Macaca fascicularis: one gene and its partners. The protein of the gene in region 1 purifies or fractionates together with the protein of each later gene. This does not show direct contact. Links are inferred from orthologs where the notes say so. Each region holds a gene or a part of one and is shown in the gene's direction. Other genes may lie near its edges. The genes, in order: CHAF1A, ASF1B and CBX1.

Region 1 (3,650 bases):
CGCTTTCGCGTCCTGCAGCCCGTCAAGATTGGCTGCGTGTGGGCAGCTGACAGAGACTGCGCAGGCGACGACCTGAAGGTACTGCAGCAGTTCGCAGCCTGCTTCCTGGAGACCGTGCCTGTCCAGGAGGAGCAGACGCCCAAGGCCTCCAAGGCCTCCAAGCGGGAGAACAGAGACCAGCAGAGTGAGTGTGGGTGGGGCTTCAGGCAGGGCCTCCCCTTCTCAGGGGCGTGGCCAGGCCACCCACCTGTTCCTGGGCCCAGCTAATTTCAAGGCTGAGGGCAAGAGTCTCACAGGCTAGTGGGTCCATGATGCAAATGTTCTTTCCACAAATAACAGAGGCCAGCCCTCTTCCCGCACACATCCGTACATTCGATGATGTCCCCAGCGGCAGGACGAGGCAGGTCCAGGCTTGTTTTATCAACCAGGACTCAGGCGCAGAGTGTGCTGGAGTGGGGGCTACGCTTTCTCAAAAGCCAGGGAGGGGCCGGGCACAGTGGCTCAAGACTGTGATTCCAGCACTTTGGGAGGCCAAGGTGGGAGGATCGCTTGAGCCTAGTGCTTCGACACCAGCCTGGGCAACATGGCAAAACTTCATCTTTGCAGAAAATACAAAATTACCTGGGCATGGTCTCATGCACCTGTGATCCCAGCTGCTCATGAGGCTGAGGTGGGAGGATTGCTTGAGCCTAGGAGTTCCAGACTACAGTGAGCCATGATACTGCCACTGCACTCCAGCCTGGGTGACAGAGCGAGACCCCATCTTAAAAAAAAAAAAAAAAAAAAAACTCAAAAAACTGGGGAGGGACTATGGCACACAAGGAGAGCAGGGCTGCCATTTGGGTAGGAACAGCAGGCATTTGAAGTCAGCCCTGGCAACGCATGTGCCCAGCCAAGGCTCACTTCTGGGCAGGTGCGTGGGTGCTGCCCTGTCTTACGACCGCCCTCATGAGGCCACCTATCCCTGAAGCTGGCCATGCCCGGAGCCTCAGTGGCGAGGAGGAGCTGTGTGTGTTTTGGTTTTTGGCCTGTGGTGATAGGTGGCTCCCCAAACCTCATGCCCGTCCATGTTCCCTCCCGCCAGTCCTGGCCCAGCTGCTGCCGCTCCTGCATGGCAACGTGAACGGGAGCAAGGTCATCATCCGGGAGTTCCAGGAGCACTGCCGCCGGGGACTGCTCAGCAAGCACACCGGCAGCCCCCCAAGCCCCTCTGCTACCTGCCTGCACACCACCAGCGAGGACGCTGCCATCCCCTCTAAGTCCCGGCTCAAGCGGCTCATTTCCGAGAACTCAGTGTACGAGAAGCGGCCCGACTTCAGGATGTGCTGGTACGTGCACCCGCAGGTGCTACAGAGCTTCCAGCAGGAGCACCTGCCCGTGCCATGCCAGTGGAGCTACGTGACCTCAGTGCCCTCGGCCCCCAGAGAGGACAGTGGCAGCGTCCCCTCCACGGGACCCAGCCAGGGCACTCCCATCTCACTGAAGAGGAAGTCAGCGGGCAGCATGTGCATCACCCAATTCATGAAGAAGCGCAGGCACGACGGCCAGGTGAGGCGGGGCGGGCAGTGGGTGCCCCTGGGGGCGGTTTTCTTTGTTTGTTTTTTGTTGTTTTGTTTTATTTTTGAAATGTAGTCTTGCTCTGTGTCACCCAGGCTGGAGTGCAGTGGTGCGATCTCGGCTCACTGCAACCTCTACCTCCCGGGTTCAAGCGATTCTCCTGCCTCAGCCTCCTGAGTAGCTGGGATTACAGGTGTGCACCACCACACCTGGCTAATTTTTGTATTTTTAGTAGAGACAGGGTTTCACCATGTTGATCAGGCTGGTCTCAAACTCCTGACTTCGTGATCCACCTGCCTTGGCCTCCCAAAGTGCTGGGATTACAGGCGTGAGCCACCTCGCCCGGCGCTTTTGTGTTTTTTTAAAACTACTTTTTTTTTTTTTTTGAGACGGAGTCTCGCTCTGTCACCCAGACTGGAGTGCAGTGGCCAGATCTTGGCTCACTGCAAGCTCCGCCTCCCGGGTTTACGCCATTCTCCTGCCTCAGCCTCCCGAGTAGCTGGGACAACAGGCGCCTGCCACCTCTCCTGGCCAGTTTTTTTGTATTTTTTAGAGATGGGGTTTCACCGTGTTAGCCAGGATGGTCTCGATCTCCTGACCTCGTGATCCGCCCATCTCGGCCTCCCAAAGTGCTGGGATTACAGGCTTGAGCCACTGTGCCCAGCCTAAAACTACTCTTAGAGCAGTTTTAGGGTCACAGCAAAATGGATTGGAAGGTACAGAAAGTTCCCATACACCTCCTTCCCCAAAGCCAAGCCAAGCCACGCGTTACCAACATCACCTTCCAGAGCAGTGGACTGGTTACAGTCATTGCACTCAGGCCGGGCACTGTGGCTTAAGCCTGTTATCCCAGCACTTTGGGAGGCCGAGGTGGGAGGATCACTTGAGCCTGGGAGTTGGAGACCAGCCTGGGCAACATGACAAAACTCCATCTCTATAAGAAAAAATTTTAAAATTAGCCAAGCAGTGGCGGTGGCATGCATCTGTAGTCTCAGCTACTCAGGAGACTAAGGCGGGAGGATTGCTGGAGGCTAGGAGATTGAGGCTGCAGTGAGCTATGATCATGCCACTGCACTGCAACCTGGGCGACCGCGAGACCCTGTCTCTAAAAATAAATACATAAAATCACCACCACCCAGAGTCTACGGTCTCTGTTAGGGTTGGTTCCTGGTGTAGAGGGTTCTGTGATTTGAATGGATGTTGGATGCTGTGCGTCCACCTTTATTGTTCTGAACAAAGAGGCCTCTCCCTGCCGAAAGGCCCCTGTGCTCTGTCCGTCCAGTCCCCTGGAAATCGCCAACCTCTCTGTCTCCGTGGACCGGCCTTTTCCAGATTGCCCCGTAGCTGGAATCGCACCGCGTGTGGCTCCTTTCACTTGGCAGTATGCATTGACAGTTCCCCCATGTCTGTTCGTGGCTTGATAGCTCATTTTTTTTTCACACCGAATAATATCCCATGTGGTAGCATTTTTATTTTTGTTCAACGGTTCTTGAATTTTGCATTCAAGCACAGTTATTAAGCACTTACTGTGTGCCAGGCACTCTGATCGGTCTTTCAGACACAGGGATATGCACAACGCCGCCCAGTGTAAGCCACAGACAGGAGCCTGTAAGGGGAATGAATGGCTGTGTGATTCCAGCCTCATGGGTGCCTCAGAGGCACAAGTGCATGGAGCCATGGGGTGTGTGGTGGGGGCACTGCCTGATCTTAGGAAAAAACTCCCATGCCCATAGAGCCAGTGGCCCCTGGCACCCACCCCTGGCCATAGATCAGCTTTAGTAACATTCATTGCATACTTTTTGTCCTTATCACACTGTTCGTAACTGAGTTTCTCTCTTTTTTTTTTTTTTTGTTTTGTTTTGTTTTGTTGTGTTTTTTGAGTCGGGAGTCTTACTCTGTTGCCTAGGCTGTAGTGCAGTGGTAAGATCACCACTCACTGCAGCCTTGACCTCCCCAGTCTCAGGCGATTCTCCCGCCTCAGCCTCCTGTGTAGCTGAGAGGGACTACAGGTGCATGCCACCACACCCAGCTAATTTTTTGTAGAGACAGGGTTTCACCATGTTGCCCAGGCTGGTCTCCAACTCCTGGGCTTA
Region 2 (3,321 bases), about 9.4 Mb from region 1:
AGTTGGATACCAGCTTGGCCAACATGGTGAAACCCCATCTCTACTAAAAATACAAAAAAAAGCCGGGTACAGTGGCTCACACTTGTCATCCCAGCATTTTGGGAGGCCAAGGCGGGTGGATCACCTGAGGTCAGGAGTTCTAAACCAGCCTGACCAACATGGTGAAACCCTCTCACTAAAAATACAAAAATTAGCCAGGCATGGTGGCAGGCGCCTATAATCACAGCTACTCGGGAGGCTGAGACAGGAGAATCACTTGAACCTGGGAGGCAGAGATTGTAGTGAGCCGAGATCACACCATTGCACTGCAGCCTGGGTGACGAGTGAAATTCCATCTCAAAAAAGAAAAAAAAAATTAGCTAGGTGTGGCAGTAGGCACCTATAATCCCAGCCACTCGGGAGGCCGAGGTACAAGAATCACTTGAATCTGGGAGGCGGAGGTTGCAGTGAGTCGAGATCGCATCACTGTACTCTAGCCTGGATGACAGAATGAGACTCCATCTCAAAAAAGAAAAATGAGGCCGAGCGCGGTGGCTCAAGCCTGTAATCCCAGCACTTTGGGAGGCCGAGACGGGCGGATCACGAGGTCAGGAGATCGAGACCATCCTGGCTAACACAGTGAAACCCCGTCTCTACTAAAAATACAAAAACTTAGCCGGGCGAGGTGGCAGGCGCCTGTAGTCCCAGCTACTCTGGAGGCTGAGGCAGGAGAATGTCGTGAACCCGGGAGGCGGAGCTTGCAGTGAGCTGAGATCCGGCCACTGCACTCCAGCCTGGGTGACAGAGCGAGACTCCGTCTCAAAAAAAAAAAAAAAGAAAAAAAAAAGAAAAATGAATACAAGAGCCTTTCCCTGCCTTGTTGCTGTTGAGCTATTTCAATTCATTAACCCTCCTATGTCTTTGCAGACCTGGAGTGGAAGATCATTTATGTTGGCTCCGCTGAGAGTGAGGAGTTTGATCAGATCCTAGACTCGGTGCTGGTGGGCCCTGTACCAGCAGGGAGACACATGTTTGTCTTTCAGGTAAGAAAGATGAGGCCTTAGGCCTTTAGCTCTTGACTCCTAGAAACATCTTCTTTTACCTGAAATCCCACAGAGTGCTTCAGGAATCAAAAGTTCAAGTTCAGCTGGGCACAGAGGCTCACGCCTATAGACCCAGCTACTCCAGGGGCTGAGGTGAGAGGATTGCTTGAGCCCAGGAGTCCGAGCCTGCAGTGAACTATGATTGAGCCACTGCACTCCAGCCTAGACAACACAGTGAGACCCTGTCTCTAAAAAAAGGAAAAAACAAGTATTAAAAAAACAGAGGCCGGGTACAGTGGCTCACACCTGTAATCCCAGCACTTTGGGAGGCCAAGGTGGCAGGACTGCTTGAGGCCAGGAGTTTGAGACCAGCCTGGGCAATATAGTGAGACCCCAGCTCTACAAAAAACTTAAAAATCAGCAGAGCATAGTGGTGTACGCCTGTAGTCTCAGCCACTTGGGAGGCTGAAATGGGAGGATCACTTGAACCTGGGAGGTGGAAGCTACAGTGAGCCAAGACCACACCGTTGCACTCCAGCCTGGGTAATACAGTGAGACTCTGTCTCAAAAAAAAAAAAAAAGAAAAGAGTTGAGACCCTGTGTCAATCAATCAATTAAAAAAAAATTTTAAAGTTCAGGTTCAAATCCTAGTTCTACTGTCAGGAACTATCTGACCTCTCAGAGGCTCTCAGGCCCTCCCTTCCCCCACCTCTGTGTCAAAGCTGCCACTGATTTACAGTCAATTCTCGTTATTCACAAGAGTTATGTTCTATAAAGTTGCCGCGAACACTGATTTAGTGAGTACTGAACCATTGCCCCAGGGTAAATACAAGCTTAGATTGTTGGAAGTCACGTTTTCGTCAGCCAGTCAATACGTAAACTTGTATGTGTGTTGCTGTTGAAAGACACCAGGCCGGGTATGGTGGCACACACCTATAATCCCAGCACTTTGAGAGGCTGAGGTGGGTGGATCGCCTGAGGTCAGGGGTTCGAGACCAGCCTGGCCAACATGGTGAAACCGTATCTATACTAAAAATACAGAAATTAGCCAGGTGTGGTGGGAGAATCGCTTGAACCCGGGAGGTGGAGATTGCAGTGAGCTGAGATCACACCGGTACACTCCAGCCTGTGTGATATAGCGAGAGACTTATCTCAAAAAAAAAGAAAAAAAAGACACCTTATTTAATATATACTGTGGTTCATTTATGTTGAATTCACAGCCAACAGCACTGTAACTCTCCTGAATGAAGCTTCTCTAATACACATTTTTTCCATAAGGCCTTTTTTGCACCCTACACTGCACTTCAGCACTACCTTTGGGTGCCATCATAGACAGCAAACTCACCAACAAAAAGCACAAAACATGGAAAAAAGGTAGCACTAAGTAGGCTGAGGAAAGGATGCTCATTCACAGTAAGAACTGAGACCAAAAGACAGAGCGTTGCCTTGTTTGACCTCAGGTAGGAACAGGCGTGGTAGGTAACTCTAGCTTTTCCCTGTTCTGTGCATGTCTGCAAGTGACCGTGGAAGCACCGCAGGTATTCATCTTGGGGTTACAAATAAATGTAGCAGGTAGGTGAACTTGCACATATGGACCCCATGAATAATGAATGAGGATAGACCGTAACTCCTAAGTGGCTCTCATGCAGCACCCTGCCTGAGTTGTCAAATGTAGATTCTGGCTGGGTGTGGTGGCTTCCAGCACTTTGGGAGGCAGAGGCAGGAGGATTGCTTAAGGCCAGGAGTTCCAGACCAGCCTGGCCACATAGCAAGACCCCCATCTCTAGAAAAAATAAAAACAATTAGCTGGGTGTAGGCTGGGCACGGTGGCTCACGCCTGTAATCCCAGCACTTGGGGAGGCCGAGGCGGGCGGATCATGAAGTCAGGAGATGGAGACCATCCTGGCTAACACGGTGAAACACCGTCTGTACTAAAAAATACAAAATAATTAGCTGGGTGTGGTGGCGGGCGCCTGTAGTCCCAGCTACTTGGGAGGCTGAGGCAGGAGAATGGCGTAAACCCTGGAGGCAGAGCTTGCAGTGAGCCAAGATCATGCCACTGCACTCCAGACTGGGAGAGAGAGAGCAAGACTCCGTAACAAAAAAAAAAAAAAAAAAAAAAAAAAGGCTGGGGGCGGTGGCTCATGCCTGTAATCCCAACACTTTGGGAGTCCAAGATGGGTGGATCACTTGAGGTCAGGAGTTCAAGACCAGCCTGACCAATATGGCGAAACCCCAACTCTACTGAAACTACAAAAATTAGCCAGGCGTGGTGGTAGGCGCCTGTAATCTCAACTTC
Region 3 (3,575 bases), on another chromosome or scaffold:
AGATTTGGGGTGGTGCTTTGTCAGAGATCTCATCAGGTGTCTCCTACTTGCCTTATGCTACTGCTTCTGTCTAGGACATGCCTAGTAACCTGAAGACAATAGTTTTTGGGGTTTTTTTTGTTTTTTTTTTTAAATGAGACAGAGTCTCGCTGTGTCACCCAGGCTGGAGTGCAGTGGGGTGATCTATGTTCACTACAACCTCCACCTCCCAGGTTCAAGCTATTCTTGTGCCTCAGCCTCCCGAGTAGCTGGAATTACAGGCACACGCCACCATGCCTGGCTAATTTTTGTATTTTTAGTAGCAACGGGGTTTTGCCATGTTGACCAGGCTGGTCTCGAACTCCTGGGCCTGCCCACCTTGGCCTCCCAAAGTGCTGGGATTATAGGCATGAGCTACTGCTCCCGGCCTCAGAGTTTACTCCTAATTCCCTTATAATGTGTGTGATTTTCAAATTTTGAAAACATTTTAAAATTTAGAAAAATACAGCTCCCTCATTTCCTACCTCCCAATGTTGAAACATCATTTCAAAGCACCTGGAAGTTGTGTGAGGATAGCATTTGGAAGTGTCAGTGTAATTACGATTATGCAAAAATGTGTCCACCTTCATTTGCTCTGGCCAATGCCAGATGTGGTATTTAATCCTATTACAGGCCGGGCGTGGTGGCTCATGCCTGTAATCCCACTTTGGGAGGCTGAGGCAGGTGGATCACCTGAGGTCAGGAGTTCAAGATGAGCCTGGCCAATATCTTTCGTAAAGATGGCAAAACCCCATCTCTACTAAAAATATAAAAATTAGCCGGGCATGGTGGTGTGCACCTACAATCCTAGCTACTAGGGGAGGCTGAGGCAGGAAAATCGCTTGAACCCAGGAGGCGGAGGTTGTGGTGAGCCGAGATCACGCCACTGTACTCCAGCCTGGGCAACAGAGTGAGACTCCATCTCAAAAAAAAAAAAAAAAAAAAAAAAGTCCTATGACAAAGCCAGGATTTCTCCGTGGGTTCTTACCAGCTGGGATATGGCTTTTGGAGGAGTGTGGTATCTTCTCTTCCCTCAGAGAATCTAGATAGCCTCTCTTCCTTCAGAGAATCTAGATAGCCTCTCTTCCTTCAGAGAATCTAGATAGCCTCTCTTCCTTCAGAGAATCTAGAGAGTCATGCTTTTGGGGGCCTTGCCCAGATGTTCAGATGTGATCGGTTAAGTCCATTGACCTTACTTTTGACATACACGAATCCCAAGAGGGAATTTTCAACAGGAGAGGATGTCACTCTGAGGATGTCACTTAACATAAAATTGCCAGTAAATGCTGCTTGGGCCACATTTTCGTTGTTCCCTAGCCAATTTTATAAAATTACTATTTTTAAAGCACTATCCCCTGGGTTAGTGCTTAGGATAGACCACCAGCACCTGGTCTCAAAGTCTCTCTTTGCTTTATTCTGCAGGAAAAACTCTGATGAGGCTGACCTGGTCCCTGCCAAGGAAGCCAATGTCAAGTGCCCACAGGTTGTCATATCCTTCTATGAGGAAAGGCTGACGTGGCATTCCTACCCCTCGGAGGATGATGACAAAAAAGATGACAAGAATTAACGCTCCTGAGTACCAGCCCCTGTCACATCTGACTGGGTTTCAAGTGGGAAGGGAAGGAGTTCTACTTGTCTTGACACCATAGAGGTGGCTTGAGAAGATGTCCTTTGAAGAGCCAGTATAGTTTCTGTGCCCTGCAGCAGCCCAAGTGCTTTAAAGCCGTTTCAAGCTGTATAGTTTGCACACCCATCCCAGTGGAGGGGAAAGGGGATAAGTGTTTCAAGGCAATCTTTTCTGCACTTTGCTGAGAAAAGCAAAGGGCCTTCTATGAAGGACAAAACTTGCAGAATTGGGTGTGTGGGAGAGCAAAAAAATACTGTAGATCTTCAAAGAGCATCTCCACAACCCACAGCCTTCTTCCCAATAGTGTTAACTCTGCATTTTTACAGCGTAGCATGTGTGTAGTCTTTGGCTATTACTGGTGTATTATTTGGGGGAGGGATGGGGAGGGGAGAAAGGGAGATGGGTAGCATCACTTTGATTAACATTTGGGGCCTGATAGGGGAAATGGTGAAGCAATGGAAAAGAACAGACAACTAATGATTTGCTTCTATGTCCAGAATATTTTACCTTAAAAAAAAAAAAAAAAAAAGTCATTGGCACCATAAATAAGGACTGTGAGAGACTGTTTAAAAGCTGTGAATGTCTGAAACCTATAAGCCAAGGTGTTCCCTGCCTAAACTTATTGCTGTTCCCACAAAGGACTAAGCCAGTTCATAAGTTACCAAAGTTGCCATTTTGGAGATGGAAATTGATGAGGAGGGAGGAAAGTCTTTTATTGGAGAGTATACAGTACAAGCAGATCATTCTGTCTCAGAGGTGCTAATAAAATTAGAAGACCCTTTCTTTTCCAGTAACGAAGTTATAAATATCAGCTTGTTCATCCAAGCCACTGGCTGAGGTGTTAGGGAAGAGGAAGAGGGTGGTAGAGGAGATAAGACAGTAGGGAAAGACAAGGGCCCGTGCTCTTAGTGGGGAAACCTCTTGGAGCTGTTCTCTTTTTTGAGCTTTGAACTCTGAAACCATTGTTGGCTTCAGTCACTGACAGCACAAGTTTCACTGAATTGATCTAAGAGTTTAGTGATTTCAAAAGCCTTGGTCTCAGGAGAAGATTAAACTTCCATATTGGGCAGTGGTTCACTTTAAAACACACACACACACACAATTTTTTAAGAAATCCTAAGAAGTAACTGATACCCAAAATGCTCTGTCTTGAGTCATGAGATCCATCAGTTTTTGATATTGTCTAGACTTGCATCTAGAGCTACATTGTAAAATCCTTTTAGGCATGTGTTAGATTTCTGTGTAAACTTTGTTTAAATGTAAACTTCATACTACACTGTCAGTTTTTGTCTTAATAAAACTATAGATTTATAATCCCTGATTTCTGTCTTAAGTCTTACCAGGAACTCTTCTTGCCTTATAGGTTCAGCCTGTTGGAAATGGCTTCCTCACTTGGATGGTTTTATTTCTTGAACACTGTAGGCTTGAAAATCTAGTGTCTGGCCTGAATCTTTAAGTGGTCGCACCATATTAATTTAGTAAATACTTAATAGGCATTTATCAGGTGCTGCAGAGATTGTAAAGATGGTCGCATCATGCTGTCTTCAGTATTGCCAAAAGTTTATTGAGCACTCTGACCTGACAGCACTTCCAAACTATGGTACATTTGGAAACATGGGTTTTTAAGTTAGGTTTAGATCCTGCCTCTGGTATGTAATAGATTATATGACCTAAAATCTACTTCTCCAAAATTTTCCAGGAATTGGCCCCGTGTTTGAGCACTGACTTAAAATGTCATTTTTTGCCTATGATTTTTTTTTTCCTTTGTGAGACAGGGTCTTGCACTGTCACCCAGGCTGGAGTACAGTGGTGTGATCTTGGCTCACCACAACCTCTGTCTCCTGGGTTCAAGCGATTCTCTTACCTCAGCCTCCTGAGTAGCTGGGACTACAGGCGCGTGCCACCACACCTGGCTAATTTTTAAATTTTT

Evidence for each region.
Region 2: the proteins of CHAF1A (region 1) and ASF1B purify together in Homo sapiens (co-immunoprecipitation; 7 studies listed by BioGRID and IntAct, counting the BioPlex papers as one, with this or other methods). This does not show direct contact. The link is inferred for Macaca fascicularis from reciprocal best matches to the Homo sapiens genes CHAF1A and ASF1B.
Region 3: the proteins of CHAF1A (region 1) and CBX1 purify together in Homo sapiens (affinity purification with mass spectrometry; 4 studies listed by BioGRID and IntAct, with this or other methods). This does not show direct contact. The link is inferred for Macaca fascicularis from reciprocal best matches to the Homo sapiens genes CHAF1A and CBX1.

Annotation. Positions count from the first base shown.
Region 1 is NC_088393.1:5,174,210-5,177,859, forward strand, and holds part of CHAF1A (chromatin assembly factor 1 subunit A), read left to right. Parts: coding exon 1-184; intron 185-1,084; coding exon 1,085-1,548; intron 1,549-3,013; exon of another isoform or gene 3,014-3,163; intron 3,164-3,650. UniProt on the Homo sapiens protein: Acts as a component of the histone chaperone complex chromatin assembly factor 1 (CAF-1), which assembles histone octamers onto DNA during replication and repair.
Region 2 is NC_088393.1:14,543,052-14,546,372, reverse strand, and holds part of ASF1B (histone chaperone ASF1B), read left to right. Parts: intron 1-906; coding exon 907-1,022; intron 1,023-3,321. UniProt on the Homo sapiens protein: Histone chaperone that facilitates histone deposition and histone exchange and removal during nucleosome assembly and disassembly. Cooperates with chromatin assembly factor 1 (CAF-1) to promote replication-dependent chromatin assembly.
Region 3 is NC_088390.1:58,660,227-58,663,801, forward strand, and holds the end of CBX1 (chromobox protein homolog 1), read left to right. Parts: intron 1-1,440; coding exon 1,441-1,585; 3' UTR 1,586-2,959; downstream 2,960-3,575. UniProt on the Homo sapiens protein: Component of heterochromatin. Recognizes and binds histone H3 tails methylated at 'Lys-9', leading to epigenetic repression. Interaction with lamin B receptor (LBR) can contribute to the association of the heterochromatin with the inner nuclear membrane.